Linked DNA regions of Astyanax mexicanus. The protein of the gene in region 3 binds, or shares a complex with, the protein of the main gene of each other region. Links are inferred from orthologs where the notes say so. Each region holds a gene or a part of one and is shown on either strand. Other genes may lie near its edges. The genes, in order: pqbp1, snrnp40, txnl4a and lsm6.

Region 1 (7,422 bases), on a different chromosome or scaffold from region 3:
TTGGGAGACAACCAGGACACCAAGTCTGTCTCTACGTTCCAGTAGTATGGGAGACCACTGAAAACAAACACAAGGGACGTTTGTGTCATTAAATATTTATAAAGCAATGATATAGGGGGGAAAATAATTTTATTTTATTCTTCCATATTTCTGTTATATCATCAGGCTCATTATGGTGTATACATGAATAACACACTAATCCAATCACAGCAAGTTTCATTACATAATCTGTTGTTATTGTCCAATCTAGCCCATTTAAAACTCTGGCAAAAGATTTAAATGAGGTGTCACATAAAACACATATATGAAGTCAATATATGGAACTAAGAAGATGCAATCCAGATAATTTGAATGAATGTTTTTTGTGTTATTTTTTATGTAATGTAGTACACAAGGGTTCTAGCATTGCAACGAGATTAAAACATAGTGCAATACAGGAAGCACTTACCAGGTAGGGTCCAGTACTTTGTACCAGTTGGTGGGTAAATTTTCAACCCTTGTAGCTTCATAGTCTACATTGTTGTCGTCATAGTCTTCAGCAATGATTTCCTCTTCATTGTCTTAAGAACAACAACATATCCAATCAGTCATAAGCAAAACATACATTGTATATTGACTACATTAAGAAGTACAGCTGACTATGTACTGTAAGCTGACATCTTACCATGTTCTGACTGCTTTAGGATTCCTCTCTTGGCCAGACGAGCCAGAAGAGCTGGTGGCAGAGGCATCTGGGGAGAAGAAAAATGGAGAGATATTTTGCATATTAATAACATGAAATTGTTAATTGTTGGTAAATTTATCTAGATTTTAGTAAGACACTCTAGAGAGATGAGGAAATCGCACAAAGATGCTCGTTATTATACATATGACTGTATATCCTGAAGATGTGAAAACATAAAAAAACAATTGCTGATGGGTGCGGATGTGTGGGCACAACCTGTTTGCAATATGTTTTATAGCTTTTTACAAGTAATGAAAGCTTGGCTTTCTTATGCCTGCTCATTACACCAATCAAAAAACAATAACTTTGTATTTTAGACAAGAACATAAAGCAACCAGATAAAAAAAAAAACATTAGTTGACTTACATGCCAACAACTGCATTTACAAATGGGGTGAACACATCCACCCAGATCTAGTCAATTTAAACTACAGACCAAACCCTAAAATCAGAATAGACGATACAGCACCACTCTCTAAAAAATAAAGATGTGTCTTAAAGCAGTAGTTCTCAACCCTGGTTCTGGTGTACCACTGTCCAGCATGTTGTAGTGTTTAGATGCTGCTTTAGTAGCAGAATTGGACTAAGCATAAATATTTTTAACTTACATTTATTTTGTTTGATTAGAGCTGAAAAATATATTGATATTTTTTCATACTGATAAGGATTAATTTCCTTCCTTCAATCAACTATATCATCATTGCTTAAAAAGCACTGACCCAAATGTACATTTATTGACAGAGTGTAAAAAAATTCTATTTCATTTTAGAATTTATAGAAATCACAGTATTCTACATAAAAAAGTATTTGAACAGTTAAAACACAATGCATACAGTTAATCAAATGATTATCTTTAAATACTGTGATATAATATTTTGCCATGTTATACAGATCTATTAGTATGTGATTACATACACCAAGGCTGGCTTTTACACTGTTCATAAAGATATTGGTATTAATTTAGAACTGGGCAAAAAAAGTTTTCGTTTATTTTGCACCATGGTCTTGGAATAACATTAAAAACAAATCACAGAGTTGGTTTTCTTGAGTGAGCTTAAATCCTTTCTGTGATGAATTCTGTGATAAGTAAAAAAATGTCTGTGATGGAAACATGCAATGGCTACTCTGACATGCCTGTTTTGTGCTTTCATGTTGGTTTTGTGTTTATTCTAAATGTAAATAAATGTTGTAATGTTCTGTAACTAGTGCTTCGACAGTGTCGATTATTTAAATGTGTCGACTACAAATTTCATTTTTGACTAATCGTTAATTTGTAACAGTACCGCATTACACAAAGTGGTGACAGAAACACAATGGGAGATGGTAAATGGCTCACTCATACAGTTTACACTCAATTTAGTATGTGTCTCCAAAAGTGCTCAAACACAACAGGTTACATATTTAATCACTACATATCAGTAGTTTACACGTTTAAACAACTTCTAGGCATTTAAATTGCTTTATAATTCTCATGTTCTATCGTTTTAGAGATGGGGGATCTGGCAGAAATAATCATTGAGTAATCGACTAGTCGAAAAAATAATCATCAGATTAGTCAACTACCAAAATATTCATTATTTGCAGCCCTATCTGTAATTGGAAATGGTGTGCCGTCCTGGCCAGATCTCCCTTGAAAAATAGATTTTTATCTCAAGGGACCTCCTGGTTAAAAAAATTAAGTAAATAAAAAAATATCGTATTGACCGAAATTAAGAATTATATCGTAATATTTTTTTTGCCATATCGTCCAGCACTATGTTTGGTCCTGACTCTTAGCAACTAAACCAGTGTTGTGGTCTGTGGCACTCTTAATTTATTTCTACTTCTTAGGACAGCTGTAACATTTGGTTGTATTATTGATGATCATTAAGGTGCTGTTTGCAGAGTAAAAACAAAACACGAGTTACAGCAAAACTAGTTACCCAGCACTTTCATTCAGCCCTCAGACTTAACGCTAGCTTAGCTAAATAGCATAGCACGTTACCCCAGCGTACTCAGACTCCTATTTAAACCATTATCTGCTGTATTTCAGCTAGATATCCATGCAAACCAGTGTCACAGCAGGCAATACAGTCTGCAGCATCTGTAAATAATCCACATTGATAAATTGAGAGAACCGCTGGTTTATTTACCTTAATAACAGCCGCGCGCTGCTAACTTTTCATTCACAGCAGCTACCAGCTTCAGTCGGCGCAGAAAAATGACGTCACGCTCCTCCCCCTTGTGGTCCCAGTGGGATTTAAGTGTTTTTGCTTGTTATAGAGAGCTATGGACAAGCATATAGAATAAATGAAATAAATAAATTACGTTAAATTAATTATAATAAAATTATACAGCTTATCGAGTGTCCGCTCCAGTCAAACAAGGAGTTTGATATGGTCCAATGAAATTAACAGTCCTTGGCGTTTCTGTTGAGACAGCCAATCACAGCACGGGATTACTTGTAGCGATCCTCCAACCGCAAGCAAAATGTAATAAAAGTACTTTATTTTAAATAATAAAAAAAACGACAAGAATGAAGATTCAGAATTATTTTAACCATTTCTCTTTCTTGACGTAATTTTGTACCTGGTACTTGGACCAATGCAAATGCTGCAAAATGACTTGAATAAACGAACCTGTTTTACGTCATCTTATACTTTGTGGCAATTTGGGCACCACAGGTTGGTGTTTTTATTCTCTACAGAAAACACAACCTCCAGGCATTTAATTGATTGTGAGAGTGGATGTTGAATAGCGTTTTATGTGTTACTAATGAGGAGTTGTTACTTTTTTGTGAGATTTACCTGAGAATTTGTGAATATATATAACATTTGGATTTGTAAGTGTTTTAGCCATTGTACTAATAAAGTGCAGTTAAAAGTATCTTTCTATCTTTCTCATGATACCCACTCTGTATGTCTGTCTATCTCTCTCTTTCTCTCTCTCTCTCCCTCCCACTTAGTCCAGTTCAGTTTAATAGTGATTTATTAGCATAAATGTAAAAAGAAACACTATTGCCAAAGCATATGACAGAAAACACATAAAAGCAAAATAATAATAATAATAATAATAATAATTACATACATGTATACAATTACAACAACTGGAGCTATTTACAGGCGTAAGCATTATTATTATTAATTATAATTGACAAGAAAAGGAAAATAAGGGTGAAAAGACTATAAATACGTAATAATAAGGAATAAATCAGTGATTTCGGTAAATTAGTTATAATAATTTTGTGTTTTTGTCCACACTGGTTTTCCCTCAGTGAGTGATCAGCTCCTTACTCCCTCTATCTCATGATACCCACTTTGTCTATCTGTCTCTGTTTCTCTCTCCATACCCATTCTAATTATTTTACGTTGTCTTTCTCTAGCACTCATTTGGCCACCAATGGTCAGTGTATTTATTTCTCTACAGAAAACATTTGTGCATTGACATAATGTATACTAAGTGTAACTGTACAATAACTTTGTATTGTGTGTTTATTTTCTTAATTAAAAAATGAGAAATACCTGGTGTAGGTACAAATACTGACATTTTAAATATTTTTTAATTTAGTTTATATACATTTAATGTACAAAGTTGGCATGTGTGCCTTATATTTTTTGTACTAGAAATGCAGACTCTCTTCTCTCTGGGGTGGAAAATCATTGCTAATCCTGTCCATCAGGTGGCGCTGAAACCCCGGCGGGCGGCTGCGTCACGGCGCCGAGGTCAGCGGCTGATCATGGAGGAGTATGCCCGTGAACCCTGGTAAAGTACAACTTCTGAGACAGCTTCTCTCTTTAACTAAACCACCGGTAAACAGAGCCGCTCTGACTCCGCTCAGAGGAGCATTTCCCCCGCCTGTGTGTGACTGTGTGTCGGCTCTGTTTCCTGTAGTTCCTGCAGTGAGTGTATGTGTGTGTTTGTGTGTGTGTGTGAGTGCAGTACAGCGCTCGGTTAGCGGGGCTGGCTAACAGCATAAACACCTCCTCCTCCTCCTCCTCAGGGTCGGGCTGCGAGTCTTACATCAGTGGAGCTATACACACACACACGAATATACAAATACTCACAGATACTACACATGCAGGAGGACCTCTTAGCCAGTAACAGCGTTTAATTACCACAGTAACGCACATTTAAATTCCTTAATAAGTAAAAGTAAAGTAAAGTAAAAATACAGGGAATTTTAGATTATATTGTCTGTTTTGTTATTTCTTAATTTGTCTTAGTTCTCCCGGTGTTTTCTCTTTGTCCTCCATAATTTTCCCAGTTTTCTGACACCATGTATGCTTACTCGTCTTACTTTACCACTCTTTATTTTATTAGTTTTTTTCTCATCTTTTTTTCTCACGGTTTTTACAGTTTTACTATTTCTCTGCATCTGTTTACTTCTCGCTTTCTGACCTTTACTTTCTCTGTTTGTCTATACCACCCGCTTCCCTGTTTCTTTTATTATACATAATTTAATCTCTCTGTCTCTCTCTTTCTCTCCCTTTCAGTCTCTCTGTCTGTATCCTTCTTTCAGTCTCTTTTAGTCTCATTGTCTTCTTCCCTTTCTCTCTCTTTCAGTGTCTTTGTCTCTTTCTTTTAGTCTATCTCTCTTTCTTTCAGTCTCTCTCCCTTTCTCTTTCAGCCTACCTCTCTTTCAGTCTCTCTCTCTCTGCATCCCTCTTTTTCTCTCTCTTTCAGTCTCTCTTTTTCTGTGTCTCCCTCTTTCTCCCTTTTGCAGTCTCTCTCTCTCTCTCTCTCTCTCTCTCTCTTTTTCTCAAAATACCCACTCTGTCTCTATTTCTATGTAATACCCTCTCTCATTCTCACGATTATACCCACCACTTACTCTATAATCTGTTTTTCTCACTCTGCTCTGCCCATTCTGTCTGGCTCTCTTTTTTCTCTCTCTTTCTGTTTTCTTTTTGTCTTTCCAAGATTCAACATTTAAAGTCGTTTTTTTCTTGCCTAACTGTAACTGTTTCTGTCAATGTTTGTCAGAAAATTAACAGAAAAAGAACAACAGTAATTATTAATATTTATTAGAGGTGTGCCAAAAAATCGATTCACATAAGAATCTTGATTCTCATTTACTACGATTCAGAATCGATTTAAAATGTCCCAAAATCGATTCTGAGGGGCGGGTTTTGGACTGATTTTGGGCTGGGTATTTTTGTTGGACCTGGCAACCCGCTTGTCCCTTCAAACCGAGGTCTTCCAGACCCACACAGAGCGTAGTAGGTGTTTGAGAATCACCGGTAAGATGGCAGAACAAGCACTATATTACTTTAGATTAACGTGTAGTTTTAATGTTTTATGGCAGAATGCTTCATAACAAGCATAAAAAAGATCGCTAGTAGTTAGTTTCAGTAACTGTTAGCTAGCTAACAAGCTAACTTTCCAGTTCCACCTTAAATAACGCTACAGGTGGCTGCGGGCTGCAGCATTTAAGGCGGAACGGAAAAATAACAATAAGCTAATCAGAGCTAATTTCAGCTCCTCATCACAGAGGAATTAAGGAATGGACAATATGAATTAATTTCTCCACCTCCTGCCCCCTTTCTGAAGAAATACAACGACCTTAAATTAACTAGTTAATCAGCAGCTGCTCCTGAACTTTAGCGCTCCACTGCTATCATCACATCAGCCCAGCAGCGTCACCTACACACCACCGCTAGTAGCCTGGTAATAAAGCAGTGTTATTTATTATTTATTTATTGTTCATTAACGTCATTGTGATATCCCAGTGATTCCTCTGTCACTGAGGACCCACATTCCTGCACATTTTATTGTTTTTGTAACACATTACTTGCTCCAGGACCAGTGTATATTATGGAGGGGTTTTTTTTTCAATAAGATTCATAAGCCAGAAGCAGAAATTTTTATAATTCAAATCGTTTTGAATCAAAAATCGATTTTGAATCGAATCGTGGCCCCCAAAATCGGAATCGAATCGAATCGTGAGATAGTAATCGATTCCCACCCCTAATATTTATAGACAACAGTCAGGTATGGTCTCTAAGGTGGTGACCCACTATAATAATACCCACTCTATCTGTCTATCTGTCTTCCTCTGTTTGTCTGTCTTATCTACCTGTCTTTCTCTGTTTCGTGATACCTCATGATCTTTTTTTCGTTATGTGTCTTTTTATCTCTTTATTTGCTCTCTCAGTCCTTGGAGAATAGTAGATGACTGCGGAGGTGCATTCACGATGGGGGCCATCGGTGGGGGGGTGTTTCAGTCCATCAAAGGCTTCAGGAATGCGCCTGTGGTGGGTGTTTCAGTGCCTAAATAATGACCTGATTTCATGCTGATTGTGAATTCTTTTGATTCTGATTAATCTCTCTCTCTCAGGGCGTACGACACCGGCTGAAAGGCAGTGCGAACGCTGTGAGAATTAGAGCACCGCAGATCGGTGGTAAGTTTTTCTGTTGTCCTGATTCTTGCTCTATTCTTCTCCTGCCTCTTTGTTCTCCTTCTGTTACAGTGAGAGACAAGCACAGACTGACCTGGATTCCCTGAGAGTATCAGTATTTTTACTGGGCTTGTGCTTCAGCCAAAAAAGATCAGGTTCCTAATAGTAAACAAGTGCTGTCAGGTATCAGTGTTACAGATATGATTATATTTGCTGCTTCATTCATTCACTCTCTGTTGGCATATGAGACTAAAACAGGTTCCTAACGACACTTATCAGGGCAGAAACTAAATGCTGCAGCTCCTCCTACTTTCTTGGCTGG
Region 2 (7,415 bases), about 50 Mb from region 3:
CACCAGTCTCACTGTCCCACACACACACAGTCTTATCCGTACTGGCTGAGTAGAGCAAGCTGAAAAAAGAGAGAGAAAGAAGTATGACTTAAGAAGTTACCTTTAAAAAGGATCACCATGAAAAAAAAGGATGAATCTCAGGTTATCGGCATGCAAGACAAAATTTTTTAAACATGCTTAGAGAAAAAATTAAGGCAAAAAACAAACCAAAAAGAATAAACGCTTGTGATTTCTAAACAAATATATAAATAAAAAACAGAAATTAACAGTTTTACACAAACGGAAATAAAACCGTCCACTAAAAAACAAGGTCCAGTAAAAAATTGGGGAAATCTAATAGCAAGTAATTAACATACCTGTAAGTAGCACAACTCAGAACCTTAAATTACGCCACTTTGCTCGGTCTGCAGTTAAATCAGTAAGCTACCCTGCATTCCAAATTTAAAAACTGTAAAATGCAATGCTTGAAAATAAAAACAAACCTGTAGTTTTAAGACCTATGGGAGATGGGTTTAAAATGCTTTAAATCTAATCAAAGTCTTTTCTTTAATAAATGAATGCAAGACATCTACAGATACCCTGATCTATGCTATAACTTATTTACACTTTAAAACACACCTTCCATCTGTATTGTAGTGAAGCTCCATCACAGCTCCACTGTGGCCTTTCAATGTGGCAAAGTTCTCACAGTCTCCGTACACACTCCATAACACTGCAAAACACACAAACATCATTTCAGACAGAATACCCAGCTTATTACAAGAAAATGTAATTAGCTAAACTATTAAACTTATGCAGAGGGGGTCAAACAGATATACACATTATGTTACAGTAATTGGGTCTTTTTGACTGAGACTAGCCCATAGCAGAATAAAACCAAAACTGACCATCTACAGTTGTTGTTTTTTTTTTTAAGAATTTTGACTATATTTAATTCTGAGGCTCTGACCCCATGAAATTAGCAAATTATAAGCACCATCATGTGGTTCTTTTACCATTATGGCTCACAGAAAGAAAGACAACACAATAATAAATTAACGCTCAGTGCATTTTCACAAACGTGCTCAGAGTATAGTCTTACAGATGAGGCGGTCATATCCTGCAGAAGCTAGCATGGCTCCATTGGGATGAAACTTGCAGCAGTAGACTTCTCCTTCATGTCCAGACAGCAACATTATAGGAGCCTGTAAACTGGAGCTGCGAGGAGGACCCTGACAAAATAATGCTTTGGTTAATATAAGGAAACAATTTTCAAACTGAGGCAAAGAATTGTTATAACAACTATTAACAAATTATTAACTAAAATAACACCAGTTATACAGATACTAACTTAGTTCCGAGTTTTACATACCAATAACAGTATTTAAGCTATTGTATTAAAGCTATTTAACACTGCACATATGTTGAATGCATTTTTACTGGCTATTAGAACTAAATTAGAGATATGTTTGAATAAACATATAATAAACGCTCTTTTTTATTGCAGTACATCATTTCAGGTTAATGATTGTTTTTCTATCTTAATTTTACAATCCTTCACTGGCATCGTTGAAATTCTGACATTGATTCAATGTTTATTTAGACTACCAGATACTGAAAGCAGAGGCTCATATACTTTTGCCACTCACAAATACAGCTCTGGAAAAAATTAAGAGAACACTTTAAAATAATCTGTTTCTCTGATTTAACTATTTATAGGTATATGTAGTTTCTATAAACTACGGACAACATTCTTCAAAATTCCAATTAAAAATATTGTAATTTAGTGCATTTATTTGCAGAAAATAAGAAATGGTCAAATTAACGATAAAGATGCCATGCTTTCAAACCTCAAATAATGCAAAGCTAAACAAGTTCGCCTTTATTTAGAAACAACAACAATACTAAAGTTTAATCTAAAGAAGAGTTCAGAACGAAGCAAGTTTTCTTCCAGGGTAACCTTGTATACGGCTTGAATCATGTGTCATTCACAAAAACCAAACTGCTCAATTCCATCCTTGCTGAAGCATCCCCAGATCATTAATGATTTTCTACCAAATGTCACAGTGGGTGCAAGCTGTGTCTTTTACATCTTTGCAGGTCTCCATCTAAACATTTGATGGCCATGTGTTGAGCAAATCTGAAAATTAGACTCATTAGAGAAGATGACCTTACTCCAGTCCTCTATAGACAAATTTGGAAACTTTAGCCTGGTTCTTTTTTTGCTTCTCATTGGAGAATGTACTTTTTCTAGCCCGCCTCTGAGAGATTGTTTTGAACTGTTCTTTCCATGCACTTCAACCCAGCTGCCATTTGCCATTCTTTTTATAGGTCACTTAATGTTATTCTGCGGTTGCTGACAGACATTCAAATAAGTTGACGGTCAATCTTCAGACCTGAAGTGGTCTCCTTTTTTCCCAGAGCTGTGTGTAATATTGGATAATTTTCCTAAATAAATAAATGGCAATGTATAATATGTTTAATATCTTTACCTACTTTAAGACTTGTTTGAAAATCTGATGATGTTTTAGGTCATATTTATGAATAAATACAGAACATTCGAAAGGGTTGTGCTCCAGGTGATAGGAATGGCTTTATTAGATTGATCTGTAGAGCTGATATTATTCCTAAACCAGTACATCATACCACATCTGAAACAAAAGTTTCTACTACAGAAATCTGGTGTGGTTACTCCAGACATACCACACTGTAGTGTACCTCATAATTGTACAGTGTTTTACAGTAATATCTCCCTGTCTGTGTTTTTTACCAGATTATCAGACTGTTAGTTACCATGGTGGCGATCTGCTGGTTCTGCGCTGCGGCCACCAGCTCGCTCCTCGGTCTCTTCACGGCGGCGGGAACCAGCGCCATGTCCGCGCCGCGCTTTTTCGGCTCGATCATGGTGTTTAGCGGCGGGGTCTCTCGGGGTGAGGCGGGGGTATGAGCTGGAGCCGGGGGTCGGGGTTCTCTGTATGAGTTTAAATTCAGCTGAACGGATCTCCTCACCGTCCACCATTAACACCACGCCGGGGTGAAATACAAACACTTCCGGTGATATCGGGGCGTTTGATTGGTCCGTTCATGTTTGCCGGCTCCTGATTGGCTGTTGGCCGTGCGGAGGCCCATTTGAACAGGAAGTTGTAAGCGGAGCAGAACAACAACACGAGCCCTGCACGAGTTTATTCAGTGTGTGTTACTGAAAGTATAGGCTGATTATTTGCTGACCTATTGGTTTATTTAAGTATTTTAACTGCATGAAATGCTTAATTTATCCTAAACTAAGATCTACCGACTTCATAAAAGCTCCTCCAGCCTTATTCTTCATCCACAAACCGGTTCCGTTCTCTCCCATCTGACCTGGATTCACCTGAAGAAAGCAGTAAGTTCAGCAACGTTTCCTTCTATTATTGGTTTATATATAATAGATGTTTATAATGGACAGTTCTTAAATTAAAATGTAATCTAAAATGTAGCATGCTTTTTTAAATGAAGAGCAGATAATTCAGTTCATAGTGACATAAGCTATGGAATTTTATTCTCTCTTATTTATAACTACATTTTAACTAGTAGAAATTGCAATACCAGATATCCACAGCAATTTATAGTAGTGAAAACTGTATAACCGTGTTATTGCTAGTTAAAACTCGAATAAATAATATCTAAAACTTTAACACTGCATACACAGGTCCTTCTCAAAAAATTAGCATATTGTGATAAAGTTCATTATTTTCTGTAATGTATATATTTTAGATTCATTACACACAACTGAAGTAGTTCAAGCCTTTTATTGTTTTAATATTGATGATTTTGGCAAAAAAGTAAAAAAAAAAAAAAAAAATCTCAAAGAATTAGCATATTTCATCCAACCAATAAAAGAAGTGTTTTTAATACAAAAAAGTCAACCTTCAAATAATTTTGTTCAGTTATGCACTCAATTCTTGGTCGGGAATCCTTTTGCAGAAATGACTGCTTGAATGCGGCGTGGCATGAAAGCAATCAGCCTGTGGCACTGCTGAAGTGTTATGGAGGCCCAGGATGCTTCGATAGCGGCCTTAAGCTCATCCAAAATGTTGGGTCTTGCGTCTCTCAACTTTCTCTTCACTATATCCCACAGATTCTCTATGGGGTTCAGGTCAGGAGAGTTGGCAGGCCAATTGAGCACAGTAATACCATGGTCAGTAAACCATTTACCAGTGGTTTTGGCACTGTGTGCAGGTGCAAGGTCATGCTGAAAAATGAAATCTTCATCTCCATAAAGCTTTTCAGCAGACGGAAGCATGAAGTGCTCCAAAATCTCCTAATAGCTGGCTGCATTGACCCTGCCCTTCATAAAACACAGTGGACCAACACCAGCAGCTGACATGGCACCCCAGACCAACACTGACTGTAGGTACTTGACACTGGACTTCAGGCATTTTGGTATTTCCTTCTCCCCAGTCTTCCTCCAGACTCTGGCACCTTGATTTCTGAATGACATGCAAAAATTGAGCAACAGTCCAGTGCTGCTTCTCTGTAGCCCAGGTCAGGCGCTTCTGCCGCTGTTTCTGGTTCAAAAGTGGCTTGACCTGGGGAATGCGGCACCTGTAGCCCATTTCCTGCCCACGCCTGTGCACCGTGGCTCTGGATGTTTCTACTCCAGACTCAGTCCACTGCTTCCACAGGTCCCCCAAGGTCTGGAATCGGCCCTTCTCCACAATCTTCCTCAGGGTCCGGTCACCTCTTCTCGCTGTGCAGCGTTTTCTTCCACACTTTTTCCTTCCCACAGACTTCCTTGATACAGCACTCTGGGAACAGCCTATTCATTCAGAAATTTCTTTCTGTGTCTTACCCTCTTGCTTGAGGGTCAATGATGGCCTTCTGGACAGCAGTCAGGTCCGCAGTCTTACTCATGATTGGGGTTTTGAGTAATGAACCAGGCTGGGAGTTTTTAAAAGCCTCAGGAATCTTTTGCAGGTGTTATGAGTTAATTCGTTGATTCAGATGATTAGGTTCATAGCTCGTTTAGAGAACCTTTTCATGATATGCTAATTTTGTGAGATATGAATTTTGGGTTTTCATGAGCTGTATGCCAAAATCATCAGTATTAAATAATAAAAGACCTGAAATATTTTAGTTGGTGTGCAATGAATCTAAAATATATGAAAGTTTAATTTTTATCATTTTATTATGGAAAAGAATGAACTTTTTCACAATATGCTATTTTTTTAGAAGGACCTGTACAGCTCTGGGTTAAAAGACAACTTGATTTAACCAAAGTGAAAACCTCTGGAACATCATAAAGAGGAAGATGGATGATCACAAGCCATCAAACCAAGCTGAACTGCTTGAATTTTGCACCAGGAGTATCCAAAAGCAGTGTGTAAGACTGGTGGAGGAGCACATGCCAAGATGCATAAAAAGCTGTGATTAAAACCAGGGTTATTGCAGCAAATATTGATTTCTGAACTCTTAAAACTTCATTTATTTGAGGTCTGAAAGCTCTGCATCTTTTTTGTTATTTCAGCCATTTCTCATTTTCTGCAAATAAATGCTCTAAATGACAATATTTTTAGCAAAGCTGATTCAGAAAATTCAGTTAAATGATTGTGATTGGTGATTACTTATACATTGGGGGGAATCAAATGGTAACACAAATAACACTAGGGGATATGTTAAATATTACCAGTGCTTACAGACCATTGATCATATGTATGTCTTTGTATTTCTATGAGAGCATATTTTGATACCAAATTTGTACGTTGCCACTAACTGTGCTTTTTGTAATGCCTTCTATGTGTTTTTCTGTTTCAACCTAGAGCATCGATGGCTGGTGAGCATAGAGAGCCAGCTGGGCTGGATGGACTGCCAGAGCTGTACAGTATCCTGCGAGGAGAGGTGAGACCTGGTAACAGCTGAGCAGAGAGAGAGATTGTAAACTCCTCAAGGGTTTTTTCTTATTAATTGGTAACGCCTCCTATTTTTCTTTCTGTTTCTCTTTTACCTTTGTAGGTGGCTTCTGTAACAGATTATGGAGCTTTTGTAAAGATTCCAGGATACAGGAAGCAAGGTGACTTTTCATTGTCTTATTCAATTGTGGATGGTGAATGACACCACTCACATACACTTTAACCCTTGCAATCTTTTAGGTGAGCAGCCAATGAGCCTGAATTCACCATGACTAACGCTTAATGTCGGTATAAGGGTAAAGGGCGGTATAAAGCCTGAACATTGGGCTCTGGAGCTGCATGCTTAAACCCATCATCTAACATCAGGCCTAAAAAGCTAAATGCCAAGTTCTTGGAATAAGCAGTCTTGGTGCAAGAAATGTAGAGTGTGTTTCTGCAGCAAAAAGCAAAGAAAAAATGTAAAGCTGGTTTGAAAAGTATATCAAATAACCAAAATATGACAACATATGAGTAATTTCCTCTCTACAAAGCATTTACGCAAGAGGCTGTCACTTTCTTCTATAACTAACTGCTTCACATCTTCCACCTGCACACTTATTAAGAGGTGCTCAGACTACCCTAGCCACACTAGCTACTGTATTCCATGACTGCCTGTTCACATTTAGCACTATGAGTGTGTCCCGGTTGCAAACAAATTAGTAATACCTAGTTTTTGGTTGTGTAGTCTGAATAAAAATCTCAAAATACTCAAATATCCATATTTTGTACTGAGAATTAGTCAGTTGTTGGTTGTGGTTACAAAGGACAATGTAATGTGTAATGTCTGAAAAAAAATAAAAACAAAATAATGGTGGACAAAGATGCCAGGGCAGCGACCATTGTTGGAAAAGTAATACTTTAGCACTTCATATGCATACACTTCATGTATTAATATTTTGTTCCAAACCCACACTAAGATTAGATTTCCATTTCCATGAATTATCTACCAGTTGTACATTATATATTCCCAATACCACTTATTTGATTACATTTTTATTAATATTTCAGGTATAAGGTGGTGAAAATCTTGTACTATAAAATATATTTTTTCCCCAATATTATGCAGCTCAAGTGTGTAGAAAGCAATCGGCACACAGCCTGTGTATTGTGCTACAACTCTTTGATTGTTATGCTGATATTTATGTTGGTCATACTTGTTGTAGTTTAATTCATTCATATAATTTAGCGTTTATTTTAGTCCCAATTCTGTTGTGTGGTCTTGTCTGGATACAGCTTCTCTCCTGTATGTGGCTCTGAGATATGTCTGTAATTAATAATATCAATCAATAAATCAACCTTTATTTTCACTCAGGATAAACATAAAAATATGGAATTAGTCACACTTGTCTCTTAACAGGTTTGGTTCATAAGAGTGAGATGTCTGCAACTCGAATAGAGAATCCTTCTGAAATCGTGGACGTTGGTGAGCAAGTTTGGATTAAAGTCATTGGCAAAGAGGTACACAACTGAGAGCAGACACTCAATAATATGGCACTCATAATTGATAAC
Region 3 (7,187 bases):
GCCACGGTACCTGTCATGGGAGGCATGGCACCTCCGCCTGCAATGCATCCGGTTATGCCACACCAGCAGCTACCAGTCAGGTTGGGAGTGCCTGGTCAGATGCAGCCTCCTTCCCGTCAAGTTCTGGTCCCGCCAGGAATGCAGTTCAACGTGCCATCTGTAAGAGGACCTCCACCACCACCACCAACACCGCAATCGTTGATTGTATCTCCACGGTTCCCTGTGAACCAGCCAACTCCTAGGGGCACCATGTTGACATCACAGTCTCTCCTAAGTCATCTGATTCCCACGGGCAACAAAGTGGACGGCCTACCTACCTACACTCTTGCGCCACTGCATGTTTTGTCTGTCCGGCCAAATAACATGCAAATGGCCAACAACGCGCCGTTGCCTGTGCCGCATCATGTCCCCACACTTCAGCACAACGCCTTGGCCAGCAATGGCTCCCAGGACTCCAAGCAAACCAAGAGATGGGTCACCTGTCCTGTTTGTAATGAGCTTTTCCCATCCAGCATATACGAATCCCACGTCGAGGTCCATAAAGAGGCGTCCAAGAAGACCAAGCTAGGCCTAGCCGCCCGAGCACCCTTCTTGAAGAAGATGCCAGACAAGACTGTGAAATGTCTGATGTGCAAGATCTTGCTCTCTGAAAAAGGACTTTTTGAACATCTGCTTCACGGCCTGAACTGCCTGTACTGTTCAGGGATGTTCTATTCTCTCAAGCAGCTGGTTGCGCACATCCAAATGGATCACAATCCCAACCAAAAGGCGAACTGTGACTTCATGAGGCGAGAGTATCGTCTTTACACTGACGAAAGTGGCAGCCTCCTGTTCCCTTACTTTGACATCAACACCACAGCGCCAAAGGAGATGATGGGAGAAAAGGAGCTTAACTTGGCTCTAGTCACCAACTCCCTTGATTTGATATTCTTGAAGATGCTGCCTGCAAGTCCTCAGCAAGTGTGCAAGATGCCCATGCCAAAACCAGACAGTTTAGACTGTGTTTTCTGTTCTGAAAAGCAGCTGAACATGGAGTGTTATCAGCTTCACCTCCGAGAGAAGCACTACATTGTACCTACCCTTCATGCTATACTCAAATCCCCGGCATACAAGTGCGTCTACTGTGGTGGAGTGTACACGGGGAAAACTACAGAGAAGGCAATCTCCGTCCACATATCCAAGTGTCGCTCTGCGCCCAAGACCCCTAGAGATGCCGAGAGGATAATGAGTTCTGGTCTAGCCGTTGCGCCCAGAGGAAGCCAAGGGCTGCTCTCGTTTCCTCCACCTCCAAGACAGTCTTCGATTCAAGTTCCAGCTCCAGTCCAAGCCTCGGTCCCTGCGATCCAGTCCCCGCATACAGCCGCGGAACTGCAGAGCAAGTTGAGGCTGGAGCTAGCCGTGAAGGAGGCCATAGCGGCAAACAAGAAAGAAAGAGAGGCCAGGCTAGCAAGGAAAAGGAAGTTGGAGAGAGACAGGTTAGCAGGTTTGACTCCTCCGTCGCCTGATATGCAGGTTGATCCTTCAGTGCAGTTCGCTTTGGACCCTGCTGGAATGGATATACGGTCATTTGAAGATCGGAGGGATTTTGTGAACAAGTACTTCAACAAACAGCCCTATCCGCTCAAGAAGGAGATTATCGCCTTGAGTAATCGCCTACTGCTGAACAAAACCGACATCGCCTGCCAGATCGGATCGAAGCGCACCAGATGCATGAAGCACCTGCAGAAAAACAGAGCCGCCGTGCTTTTAGGTTTCAAAATGACGGAGTTGTTGAAACTGAAGCACGACCTGGTTATTCCCCAGATTGAGCCGGAGAAGACCTCTGCAGACACAGAACCAGAATCCCCGGGTTCAGAATCCGCGGGATCAGAACCTCTGGAATCGGAAACCCAAGACCCAGATTACATGGAACCAGAAAGCCCGGAAGCACAAACGCCAGACCCAGAAAACATGGAACAAGACACCCCGGGAGCTGAAACCCCAGAACAAAATGGTCAGAGCGAAGAGGCCCGAGAGGTTGACTAGTTTTGTTTTGTTTTTCTTTTAAAGATGAATAAATAATTCAGAAACAGGAACAAATGGAGTGGGAGACTCCTCAAAACAATGCAAAAACAAGGTATATTGTATTAAAGGTAGATCAGTTCTCACAGGACCACGTTCATTTCCTTAGAAATCTGTGTAGACTCCTTTTTCTTGGAAGTAAACTTAAATAATAAGTTGAACTTACAGTGCATCTGGACTTATATGCTGTTCAGTAATATTAGTTTTAGTAGTCATTCTACACAGTACTGTTAAAACTTTGAGAAATGTTTTCCCATTACATTCAGACAACTCACATGTTTTACAGTGTGTTTATTACTTTTGCCTTCACTTTGTTTCTGTTCGTTCTTGTTTGTTTGTTGGTTTGTTTTTTACATTTTAGCATATTATCAACTTTTTATACCTGGATATTAATATAAAACTGAGGCGCATTTAGTTAAAGCGCTTTCATAGTAGTGTAGTTCAACGTATTTAAGAAGTTACCCGTTTTCTTTCCTGTACGGTTCCAGTATTCTGTTTAAGTGCTTCCTCATTTATTCTGTGCCTACATGATATGTCAGTATGGTATGTCAGTGTGTGTTACTTTACATAGAATTGTGCCTAAACATGAGTTTCCCTTTCAGCCTCCTTCTATCATGGTCTCTTACTCTCTTACTTCGTGGGTCTCTGGATCGGGATGATTTGAAACATTGGGATAGCGATAAGTCCTTTTAAATAAAGGCTTGGCCCTGAAATTGGTAGCTTACTACACCACTGTACAAGTTTCAGTAAACTGTTTCATTTCTCTGGCCTACCAGCCCTGAGGTACCACTCTGTTGTAAGCATGGCGGTCTGTTGTTTCATTGCCATTTGTAAGCATGGTTCATGAGCATTTGGTTTTTGTAATAGTGGAATGTAAGACTGTTAAAAGATTTAACATATTTGCTCACAACTTGATTTCAAGCTTATCTCTTTAAAAAACAAGGCAGATTGCATAGTGGAGCATTTGTAAGGGCACTATGTAAGAAAGAATGCAAAATAAAGTTACACCTTGAAACACTGTATGTGCTGTTAATGTCTGCTTTATTTTAAAACATTTTATTTAATATTTTGACTTCATACATCAATGCATAAGACATTTCTCAATAGTAATCATTTTGTATGGTTCGTTGTTCGTAAAAGTTTGATTCAGTATAAAAGACAACTGTGCGTAATACATAGGGGCAATTCTTTGAGATGGGTGATTTTAAGCTCATATAATATTTTCATCTGATAGTTTTAATTAGATAAGCCTTTGACCTTTTAATTTTTATCCAAAATGATGCATTTCCTTTAAGATTTTTTAGGCTTTTATATGTTTTCTGACTGTCCTGTAAATTATACACAAAGTCCAATAAACATTTACCTTGTGTTTCTTAAATATTAATATAAATTTGTCCAATATCGGGGTGTAATTCAGTGTGAAAAGTAGCCCTAATTCCACATTTAGCATCACAGGGTATTTGACTCATTGTTTTCCCCTAAACAATTGTTATCTATATTTTATTTATATAACTTGGTTGAAATACGTGATTGAAACACCTGAGTACCATGATTTAGGTGGGTGATAGAATTCTTCTCGCAATATAGACAATACAGGTGCATCTCAAAAAATCAGAATATCATTGAAAACTTTGCTCTATACTTTAATACTTCCTTTATTTCAGCAATTCAGTTCAATCTGCTGGTGTTGATCCACTGTGTTTTATTATCAAGTCTAAAGTCTTGTTTTGTTAAAGTCAGTTTTGTTTCCCCACAAAATCTTACAGCACTTCATATCTTACAGCTTCCCTCTGCTGACGATAACTTTCATGGAGATGCTGATTTCATTTTCCAGCAGGACTTGGCACACTGCTAAATGCACCAATCATTCTTGTATAATATTAACATTTTCTGAGACACTGCTTTTTTTGGGTTTTCATTGGCTTCAAGCCATAATTATCAACAATAAAAGAAAATAAACGTTTAAAATATATCACTCTGTGTTTAATACATCTATATAATATATGAGTTTCACATTTTGAACTGAATTACTGAAATAAAGTTACTTTTAATAATATTCTATTTCATTGAGACGCACCGGTATAGTGTACCCACGTTACGTGAGTACGCGCCTCCGTGCGCACGTGTGTGTCGTCACTTCCGTATCCTGCTCAGTCCGCGAAGAGCTCCGGCGGATGGGGGAGGTCTGATAGAGGCAGAGAACAGCAGCACAAATAAACACAAACTACACTGATTTCCTCTTACTGAAGGTAATATTCACGTTACTCATCTGTTTTACTGTACATTGTCCCTTTTAAATCTGTTTTTACTTACTTAAATCTTTACTTTTACTCTGTAAACGGGTTTAGATACCCAGACTAGTAGTAAGCAAACTACTTAGCTTAGCATAGCTGCCTGGAGTGTTCCAGAAATTTTAAGAAGCTGATATCTAAACTAAGCTAAACTCGGTTATCTAGCCTCTATTTAAAGTAGAGAATATAAAGTATAATCATGAATATACACTGTAACTGTGATTTATATTGAAAATAATTAATGCCTGATTAAAAAGCTAAAACACAACCGAGGAAAAAATGTAAATACAATCCACCAGCTGCATTATGCAGCTGTATTTACCAAAATTAAATGATCACTATTGCATTACATTTCACTGCTTTTCATCTCTTTATTAAAAATCAATACACAAAAAATTACATTTACAAAACCAAATACTGTTGCATTTAATCACTAATGTCAGGAAAACGAGCCGCAATTAAAAGTAGTTAGTCAGGAAACTCTAAAACACAGCTCACCGGAGTCACTAAATCATATTTCTTTTTCTTTTTATTCATCTAATTTTCTGTTTTTACCTTTTAGACTTTTAATTTGTTTTATTTATTTTATTAATTTTGTCTTTATATTTGTTGTTTTCCTTGTTTTACCTTTGGCCTTTAAGCTTTTTAATATCATTTATTTAATATATTTTATTATTCTAATCGTTTATCTCTTAATTTTATTGCTTTACATTTTAGCCTGTGCACTTATCCTTTTATTCAGTTTATTTGTATTTCTTCTTAATTAAATCTTATCTTGTTTTTCTAAAGCTTTTATAATTTCATTTTGATTTTGTTTGACGTTACTTATTTTAGGTCACATGATTAAATTCTTGCTTTTAATTTCTATTTAAATGTAAATTACCCTCAATCTGTTACTGCGTGAAAATAACGGTTAAATGATTCATAGTTAAAAGATCCGGTTACACCAATTTTAACTAAGCCCCCTAATTTTAGCCAACTCCACCCTCATGTGCAGTAGTGAGGGGTAGTTTGGAAAGGACAATGTGATGTATGGGTTTAGGGGTAGAAGTGAGAGCTGATTGGATTAAAAACTATTGATCTACAACATAACAGCACACATTCTGAACCATCATTCGTCTTTCTTGTGTTACTTTAGGGAAAATATTTTTTGAGCCAAGATGTCGTACATGCTTCCACATCTCCACAACGGCTGGCAAGTGGACCAGGCCATTCTGTCCGAGGAGGACCGTGTGCTCGTCATCCGATTTGGTCACGATTGGGACCCCACGTGCATGAAAATGGACGAGGTTTTGTACAGTATTGCTGAAAAGGTGACTACATGCTTGTTTATCTAAAATAATCATTACTTTGCTTTTGCTCCCAATTTTGCTTTTGTATCTTACTAAAAATGGGTAGATTTCTGTACTGTAGAATTTGTAATTTGTCTCATTCTGTCTTTTCTCCTGTGTAATCCCAGGTCAAAAATTTTGCCGTCATTTACCTGGTGGATATCACTGAAGTGCCAGACTTTAACAAGATGTACGAGTTGTATGACCCTTGTACGGTCATGTTCTTTTTCAGGTGAGTGTTTGCCATATGAGTCTGATCCTTTTAATTTATCAGTGTAAAACACTACACAGCTATTTAAAAATATCTCTCTAGTAATCTCTCTTCTTTTGTCTTCTCTTGATTGCATCCTTTTTTTTGAGACAATGTTGTGAATTTCAGAACACAAAGCTTAAAATGAGCTTAATCAGAGTGTATTAGCTGTAGTAATCCTTTTTAAATACATCATCAGGGTTTACATGAACCACACCACATATAAATGAAGGTTGAGGCTGTGTAAATTTTAGATTTTACCCACATGCATTTACACCTGATAGCCTTCAGTTAGTCAGAAGGCTAAGAAATAAAAGTGACACTGTGTAAACAGGATTATAGTGTGGTTCAAATGGTCGGACTAAATACATGAAAAGTATATATTATAAACTAGTGCTGTATTATATGAGGATAAATATTGTGGGGACGATAAAGTGTTTATCGTGCTATCCCTATCGTTTTTCTACAGTAATTTCATCGATTATTCATGCAAATTAGGGTTGGGCGGGTTTTCAAAGTGTTTCATACTGTCATACGTAGGCCAACAATAACAAAATTTTCAGGACGATATATTGTCCCAGAAATTATTGCGATAAACGATAATATCGTCATTTTAAAGCACCACTATAGATTTTATTTTTTGTTTCCTGCTTCTGGGCTCCCAAAGGTGCTTTAAGACAATGTGCCACACTAATAATATACTAGCATAATACTATTACACCATTTTACAGATAAACTAACTTTAAATTATTAAGTGCAGACATTGGGCTCCCAATATAAAAATATTTTAATATCCTAAATAAACAAATAAAGTACACCCACCCTGGGTTCTGAAAAAACTGCACTAAATATTAAACCCTTATTGTAAAAAATAAATTAACAACAAATAGATTAATGTAACATTTACATTAATTATTAAAAAAAAAAACTCTGAACACACGGGCACTTGCAGATTCCTTTTTCTGATCATATATGTATTTATGCAGTAAAACACACATTAGCTTTGTGCATATGATCAAAGACACACAGATAGCTCATCAGGCCAGAGCTTTAGCTAGAAATGTATTTTTTAATGTAACTGTCAGACAAATTCTGAGCAAGAAACACCAGCATGTTTACCGTGTGGGGCTTGAGGCAGGATCTCTCTGGGGGAACAATTTTTATATTCAGTATTCAGCTGGATGGTTGTGCTTTAAATAAGATCTCAGGTTAGTGGCTTTTGTTTCCACTGTTGTGAAACAAATAAACATACCG
Region 4 (7,887 bases), on a different chromosome or scaffold from region 3:
GTGCGGGGATTAGGGAGAGGGCGGATGGGGGGAGGGTGGGGGCGGGAGAGAAAGGAGAGAAAGTACACGCCGGCAGCCAATCTGGTTTTCATTTGAAAACTCCCTCGAGGTTTTTCCATTATACCCCCCCTCCCTCCATATCCAGGCTGACCCCGGAGAGAAAGCCCTCGCCCGCGAAGGTCAGCTCAGTCTAGACTCTCCCCGCCATCCGTCCATCTCTCCATGCCTGCCTCCCTTCCGTCTTCTTCTTCTTCCCAGCGAATGTGCCTGCGGCAGGCAAGGGTTACCCCCGCCCCCTGTTTTCTTTTTTTTTGTGTTTTTTTTTTCCCCCGCTCCTCAGCAGCTCCTACACTCTCTACGCTCCTCCTCTCTAACCCTGCCATAGCTCCCACTGTAATCTTTTCATTTCGCCTCCCCTCCCTCTCAGGTCTTCAGGGGCTTGGAAAGGTGAAGCAGGTTGTACCAGCAAATCAACTGTGCCACTGTCCATCTGAGCACCCCCCGGTATCTCCGAGCCAGGCCCCGAAAAACAGTCCCATCTGCCCTCTCCGGGCGGCTATTACTGTTGAGTTACAGCTTTCGCATCGGTCAAGGCTCAGGGCACTCGTCCAAGGGTCGCCCGCTCGCAGCGCGCTCGAACGGTCTGCGCCGCCTTTTGTCTTTCGCAAATCAGTTTTGTATTTGCATGAGGCCCACCCACACCCGGCGGCGCGAGAAAGCCGCAGAGCCACCAATCGCTTTATTCATTTCATCATGAAAGAGAAAACGTGGTGCCGCAGAGCAGCGCCGATCCAGAAGGACAGGTCAATAAGGTTAAAACGTCTTCTTCTCCTGCGCACAGAGGCTGCGGGAAACATTCTCATCGCCTCTCCAGGCAACTGGCACAATGGCGTAGAGGAAAAAGCTCGTGAAACCCAAGTTGTGTCTCCACGGCTCCATTGTGTTTTCATTCAGTATCACTTAACAAGCCTGGCTCTTGGCTCCTGTCCAGTAAAGTCAAGAATGAGCTGCAGTACACCAGGAAGGTCAATATCGTGTATGTGTACGAGTGTGTACGAGTGTGTACAAGCGTGTATGTGTGTGTGGGCACTCTTTGTGTGTGTGTGCATGTATGTATGTGTGTGTGTGTGTATGTGTGTGTGTGTATTTGTATCGCTCAGCTCACAACCTCACAACATCATGACAGTAGCTCGTACTACCCCTCCATTATTATCAATCCTGCTGTTTTTCTCCTGCTGGACCTTCAGAAAGCAGCCGGTATATAACACACAACAATCGCTTTGATTAAGGGCAGGCGTTAAAGCCTCCGAATGGCTTCCCTTCCTCCAAGCCCCTTCCGGACACGGACCGAGGGAAGCGACGAGGGGAAGAAAGAAAGAGAGAGGAAAAAAAAAAAACGTTCATTGAATATTCATTAACCTGTGCCTAGGTGTGTACGCGGTTCTTAACCACACTTGTTTATGACTTAAGGACTTGTAGCGCTGACCTTAGTTTAACACGGCGCCAGATACCAAATTAACCTCTAGCCTCCGCAGGGCTCGCCATGCCCCGCTAACAAGCAAACTGTCTGGATGCGCCAGACGTGCTTTATGATTCTGCCTCTCAGGTTCCTGCCTCGCTCTGCCTGAAAGCAGCAGCGCACACTGCTCTCCAGCCCTGCTCTCTCTCCTCACTGTTTATCCTCCACCTACATCCATCCTCCCTTCCACGGCTCCTCTTAACTCAGCCTTCACTCCGACAAGTTCTTAGGACAGAGCGGTAGAAGAAAAAGAGATGATAATACCATAATACCATAATAATCAATGCAAGTGTGAGCTTGACCAACAATGCTTAAGGGGCTGCTGAATAACATTGGATAAAACATTGCAAAAAAAAAATGAATTGGAAAATATAGTTAAATAAGAGTTGTATATGTTTAAATTAAGCAAAGAAACAGCCAAAGTGGTAAACAAATTTTTCTTAGTAAGAGTTCCTAAAATAAGCACTCACAAAATGTCAGTTTTGGCTTATTTTCAGTTTAAATTCTAAGTAAGACTGATTATGATCATAAGTCCTAAAATAAGCCAAAGAATCTTACACGACTTACAAGAGAAAGACAAGTATGGTTGGTGTGGCGCAGTGGATAACACCACTATCTGCCTGGGTGACTGAATGCTGTGCTACACCAATAAGAGTCCCTGGGCTAGACTCCTAACACTACATTGGCCCACCTCTGTAATAGGAACAAGCTTGTAAGTCGCTCTGGATAAGAGCATCAGCTAAATGCCATAATTGTAAATATCATAGACTGTATATAGCTGGACAGAGCATCGTCTCTTAAAAGTGAAGCCACCACAGGTCGGGCGCCCCCTGCTGTTCGGCTGCAGAAAGCTGTGTAACCCCACCCATCCCCATAGGTTTCAATGGCAAAGCAGACAACTTTCAATCACGTTTTTTTTCTAATATACTCTAATTCTACCTCCATTATTTAAATGCAGCAGCTAGTGTAGCCTCTGCTTATATTGTCAATTTTTTATATCCCCACAGAATTCGGTTTTTGAAACTTTATTCGGCTCTATTCAAAAAAGGTGTGGTTATGGTAAAAGGGCTGGTTATGGGCGGGACCAATAACAGACCGTCAGCTCCGCTCCGCCCCGCTCTGCAGTCTGTGACCGCGAGGCAGCCCTCAGGGGCGGGGTTATTTAAATGAGTAGGAGCTCTCAACAGCCTTTCTCCCTACTCTGGTCTCTACTGCGCAGACTCTGGTCTCTGAATCGCCAAAACGGCGGAAGATTCTGGCTTCATTTTTATTTTTTTGCAGTGTACTGATCACCATTACATTTGTACAGTCCTAACTTGTAACAGTTTCTTTTGTAAACTCTAAGCACAAGCAGTTCAATATAGTATTGACAAAAAGGTTGAACTGTTGAAAGCAATATTATGTAGCAATTTTACCCTTAAAGAGTAGCTTCAGAACCATACTGATGCTCTGAAACTGAAAATGAGAAGATTGCATCTCTGGATGGAATGATGATACTGCACTGTGTAGTATGTTATGTATGTTAACTTTGATAGGCATTGGTTAGTGTTCAAATTCTGTAATTAAATCAACATTAATTTAAAGGTTTTAAAAGGTTGATCTCTTATACTCTATTAATAATAAGATTATTAATAATTATTATTTAAATGTCCTTTTCTACACTGCAAGACCACATTATATAGACTATACTAATAGAACACAAACAAGATATGCATATATAATGTAAGTAAAATGTAATACAAACCATTATTATAAAACAATAATACTAAATTAATGTTGAATCAACATGCACAAATAAATTCATTTTGATATCAGAGATCAATACAGTTATATTGAATAAATAAATAATATTGATTTAATGTCAATATTTTGCTGTCTGGTATTTGCAATTTCTTACTTGGTTCAAATCAACTGCAGCATAAATCTTTATTTTTACATGGAAATATGTAAAAAAGTTAAATGTAAAAACTATTAAATATGAAGTCTAGATTGAAAACTTACTTGTTTATTTAGCTTTTGGTAATTAATGTTTCTCCTTTTAGATAAGGCTGCAGATTCAGGGGTTCATGGACAGAGGGAATTGTGGGTAAACTGAGATGCTGGTGCTGTTGTTCTCCCACTGCACACGGTCACTCAGGTTTGTGGACGGTGGAGTGGGTGGATGCTGATGTTTCAGGGAGGCTCCGTGTCTATGTTACCTTCTGGCTCTCTCCCTTTAGTTAGTTTATTCAGATCTGAGTTTTATGTTTTATATTTTCTGTTTTACATAAATCCAGTAAAACTAATTCCATCTCTCTGCCTTCCTCCGAGTTACTGACTGCCCACCTGTCTGACCCAATACCGATGGATGTTGGACCCTCGGGCTCTCATGTCCCCTGTCCGGCCAGACTGATGGAAATTTCTGAAGTCAGCTCTTCTCCATCACCCACCACAGATCAGCTGCTCATCATCAATCTTACTCTCCACTACAGATTACATCCTTACATATACTCCAGAATATATAAAACCTATGTGGATGTATAAAGACTTTTTATATTTTAATTTAAAAGCCGTTTGACCAGTGGTAGGATGGTCACCCCTTAAATGTGAGTCTTGGTCCTCCCAAGGTTTCTTCCTCCTCCTGCAGCTCTGAGGGAGTTTTTCCTTGCCTCCGCGCTCACTGGGGGTCCTGTGTTCTGTATTTTCTATGTTTAATGTTTTGCCTGATTCTTTGTCCTTTGATCACATTTCTGTAAAGCTGCTTTGTGCCAACACCAGCGCTATACAAATAAATTTGATTTGATTTGATATGAACATGAACAATTCATGGTGGGAGGTTGTTTGTAACTATCACTAATGTGAAACTCACAATTATCAAGGGACTGCAGTTCATCTTGTTCAATATTCAGTAGTATTTTGTATTATTTTAATTAATTAATTGATTTTATTATTTTTTACTGAATCAGATTTTTTTAAAATATAACAATATTACGACTTATTATAACTGTATTATAATTGTATAATATTACAATTTTGATGTCCTGCAAATCAAATACTTGTATCTCCAGTTTTGCATTTTTAATTAATTTATTGTTTATTTTTTCTTTTTTTTTTTTTTACATATTTTTCATCTGTAAAAAGTGAAACATTACATATTTTTATTTTAATAATATAATATAATATAATATAATATAATATAATATAATATAATATAATATAATATAATATAATATAATATAATATAATATAATATAATATAATATAATATAATATAATATAATATAATATAATATAATATAATATAATATAATATAATATAATATAATATAATATAATATAAAAGCCCTTTGTCGTGAAGGCGAACTGTCCCTCAGCGGCACCCGTAGTTCTGTACTAAGCTCGGCTGCTGATTGGTGGAGCGCCATCAACACCGGGACGTGCAGAGAACGTTGTTGAAGCAGCAGCTAAGCTAACCTGCGCTAAAATAAGGTGAGTATAATCCGGCGGGTTATGGATTCAGTGCGGGATATAAACCCGCAGTTTATAAGAATAAATCGCTGTAGTTACAGTAATAGTGCGGGTTTATAGCGGAGGTTTGTTTATTATGCGGGTTTGGAGGCAGTTAGATGTGTAGCTAGGCTAGGCTAACGTGGCTAACTGCTAGATAATACTGTAGAATTCACTGGTTTAACTAAACTAGATAATCTAGCCTAACTGCACAAATTGAACCTTTTACTGTAGATATGTGAGATTTACGTGGTTTTAGCAGACAGAACTGCCCGAGTTTTTTTTACAGTATTTATACAGTATTTTGTTATACAGTTTTAGCTAAACACAGTAACGTTACTATACTAGTGAATCTCAAAAAACAATTTTACTTTATTTCAGTAAGTTAATTCAGTTCAGAATGAGAAACTCATATATTATATAAGTGTTACTGTTGTTGATTATGACTTACAGCCAATGAAAACCCAAAAATCAATATCTCAGAAAATTAGAATATTATATAAGACTTATTTTTGGCAGTGTGGGCAGTGTGCCAAGTCCTGCTGGAAAATGAAATCTGCATCTCCATAAATGTTGTCAGCAAAGGCAAGCATGAATGGCTGTAAGATTTTCCGAGAAACACCAGCAGATGACATGATGTCTCTCCAAATCATCACTGATTGGTGGAAACTTCACACTAGACCTCAAGCAGCATGCACTGTGTGTCTCTCCACTCTTCCTCCAGACTTCCTTGATTTTCCTAATAAAATGTAAACTTTACTGATGGTCATCTGCTGGTGTTTGTCCACTGTGATATATCAAGTCCAAAATCAGTAAATGAACCAACAATCAAGCTGATTTTAAGTACATTAATAATCGTCAAATATTGATGGTGTACTCAGTATGCTTATTAAAGCATCTTGTTTATTCAATAAGAAAGTGTCAAGATATGATAAAATATTGATCTATTGCCCAGCTCTAATTCTACAACTAGTACTGTGTATCTCAAACTACTGTTTATATACAGTGAGGCAAATAATTATTTGATCCCTTGCTGTTTTTGTAGGTTTGCTTACTGACAAAGACATGAACAGCCTATGATTCTAATTCTATCTTTCACAGTGAAAGAAATAATAAATAATAAAAATGGTATCTGTAAAATGCATATCAATGTATATCATTTATACAATGTGATTTTTCTGGATTTTATGTTTTATATATTTTATTGTTAAAATGAACCTACACTTAAAATTGTAGATGTCTTTTGTCAGTGGGGAATCAGCAAGGAATCAAATAATTATTTATTTCACTGTAAGTTATAAGCAGATGCATGTACCTACATGCTGTATAAGTTGCATAGCTGTCTCTTTAACTTATCCTCACCACACTCTCTGTGCCAGCACTGCACTGTCCCATCTGTTAACTGTCTAACTGATATGTATATTTCATGTATATTGCTATTTCTTTCTAGTCTTATGTTCTAGGTTTATGTTTGCACATTGCACTTTATGTATTTCATTGAGAGTCCTATGTTGCTTTATTGTCATTTCACTTCACTGTATACTTGCAGTCAGGTGAAACCTCATAACAACACCTTAACAACTACTTTGGATACCACAGTAACTAGCTAGAAATATCATAGAAACCACCTGGAATAACATGGCAATCACGTGGCAACAGCCTAGCATGGATTTGATACAGTAACCACTTAATCTGTACAACCATTTTGTGTGTCTATTAGGAAATGCTCTTTAATAGTTTATAATAGTTGTTTTTTAATAAGTCTAACAGTGTAAAGATGAGCATTGTGTTCAAGCTGAAAAGAAAAAAAAAGGATTAACAAGGTACAGATACTTTTGTGTGGGTATAAAAAATGAGTTCGCATGAATTACTGCAACATCAGAAATATTAAACATGTGATTAGTGTGAGATTGAAATGCAGACTTGCAGCTCGTCAGCTCATTATTATTCATTCTTCATTTATAATTCACTCTCTTTTTTTTCTTTTTCACTCCCTGTTAGTCAAAATGAGCCTCCGGAAGCAGACCCCCAGTGACTTCCTGAAGCAGATCATTGGAAGGCCAGTGGTGGTGAAACTGAACTCTGGAGTGGATTACAGAGGTAAAAGCACCACTGCTGCTTTGAGTAGCTGAAAATGAACTCCTGCTGTAATTTGCTGTGTGCTGAAGCTGCATCTGTTATGTATTTTTCTTCCATTATATGGGCTTTCTCAAGATTTATATATTTTACACTGGTAGTCTAAATAAATTGCTGAAGTGTTGTATTTTGTTATTGGAGGGAGACAAAATCCTTATCTTGTCTTGGTGACAACCTCACATTACTTTTGTTTTTTAAACTGATCTTATTTATGTTTCCCACACATAAGAGTTAGACAATATGACTAAAAACTTGTATTTTAATATGTTTTACAGAAATGGTAATATACAATATATAATGTACTGAAACCCTTAGAGTAGTGTTACAGAAAGTGTTAAACCGTCAGTATTTATTTATAACTAAGTAGGTATTTCACTGGCTTAGTAAACTGCACTGGATTATAATGGTTGAAATAAAGTAATGATGCTTCTCCTTTAATTATGATATTTCAATACCACAATTTACACAAGACTGAACTCCACAACACCCATGTACAACCTTTAAATAAATTGCACAGCTGCTTCGAAATTATGATTTGATCATTTTTATATATATATTTTTTTACAAAACAAGCTTGAATAAAGGGAATTATTTTACTGATCCTACACTTAAGCTGTTATTACCTGTGCAGAAGCAGGAGTGTCCAGCCTTAAAGAGCCAATAAAACTTGTGAAAAAACATACTTTTTCACACTAATAGGGAGGATGATGTTTCTGTGTACTTTGGTACGAAAACACTCACAACAT

The links.
Region 1: the proteins of txnl4a (region 3) and pqbp1 are in contact, whole or in part, in a crystal structure (PDB 4BWQ), measured with the Homo sapiens proteins. The link is inferred for Astyanax mexicanus from reciprocal best matches to the Homo sapiens genes TXNL4A and PQBP1. Residues at the interface, in NP_006692.1 of Homo sapiens: Gly11, Trp12, Val14, Asp15, Ile18, Asp68, Phe69, Met72, Tyr73, Glu74, Met82, Phe84, Asn87, His89, Met91, Gly97, Asn98, Asn99, Asn100, Lys101, Leu129; in NP_001027553.1 of Homo sapiens: Gln241, Gln242, Arg243, Pro244, Tyr245, Pro246, Ser247, Pro248, Gly249, Val251, Leu252, Ala254, Asn255.
Region 2: txnl4a (region 3) and snrnp40 share a complex: the UniProt entries of both Homo sapiens proteins name them as parts of the U4/U6-U5 tri-snRNP complex. The link is inferred for Astyanax mexicanus from reciprocal best matches to the Homo sapiens genes TXNL4A and SNRNP40.
Region 4: txnl4a (region 3) and lsm6 share a complex: the UniProt entries of both Homo sapiens proteins name them as parts of the precatalytic spliceosome. The link is inferred for Astyanax mexicanus from reciprocal best matches to the Homo sapiens genes TXNL4A and LSM6.

The regions. Positions count from the first base shown.
Region 1 is NC_064419.1:20,725,479-20,732,900, forward strand, and holds the start of pqbp1 (polyglutamine-binding protein 1), read right to left. Parts: upstream 3,008-7,422; 5' UTR 2,856-3,007; intron 732-2,855; coding exon 665-731; intron 561-664; coding exon 449-560; intron 58-448; coding exon 1-57. Other genes in the region: timm17b (mitochondrial import inner membrane translocase subunit Tim17-B), read left to right, coding at 4,439-4,464, 6,857-6,956, 7,040-7,103. UniProt on the Homo sapiens protein: Intrinsically disordered protein that acts as a scaffold, and which is involved in different processes, such as pre-mRNA splicing, transcription regulation, innate immunity and neuron development.
Region 2 is NC_064410.1:50,280,417-50,287,831, reverse strand, and holds the start of snrnp40 (U5 small nuclear ribonucleoprotein 40 kDa protein), read right to left. Parts: upstream 3,018-7,415; 5' UTR 2,884-3,017; coding exon 2,773-2,883; intron 1,212-2,772; coding exon 1,082-1,211; intron 713-1,081; coding exon 619-712; intron 60-618; coding exon 1-59. Other genes in the region: zcchc17 (nucleolar protein of 40 kDa), read left to right, coding at 5,274-5,341, 5,778-5,856, 5,971-6,028, 7,264-7,364. UniProt on the Homo sapiens protein: Required for pre-mRNA splicing as component of the activated spliceosome. Component of the U5 small nuclear ribonucleoprotein (snRNP) complex and the U4/U6-U5 tri-snRNP complex, building blocks of the spliceosome.
Region 3 is NC_064410.1:756,037-763,223, forward strand, and holds the start of txnl4a (thioredoxin-like protein 4A), read left to right. Parts: upstream 1-4,175; 5' UTR 4,176-4,310; intron 4,311-5,490; 5' UTR 5,491-5,512; coding exon 5,513-5,665; intron 5,666-5,811; coding exon 5,812-5,915; intron 5,916-7,187. Other genes in the region: adnp2b (activity-dependent neuroprotector homeobox protein 2b), read left to right, coding at 1-2,025. UniProt on the Homo sapiens protein: Plays a role in pre-mRNA splicing as component of the U5 snRNP and U4/U6-U5 tri-snRNP complexes that are involved in spliceosome assembly, and as component of the precatalytic spliceosome (spliceosome B complex).
Region 4 is NC_064414.1:49,786,694-49,794,580, forward strand, and holds the start of lsm6 (U6 snRNA-associated Sm-like protein LSm6), read left to right. Parts: upstream 1-4,868; 5' UTR 4,869-4,987; intron 4,988-7,006; 5' UTR 7,007-7,011; coding exon 7,012-7,105; intron 7,106-7,887. UniProt on the Homo sapiens protein: Plays a role in pre-mRNA splicing as component of the U4/U6-U5 tri-snRNP complex that is involved in spliceosome assembly, and as component of the precatalytic spliceosome (spliceosome B complex).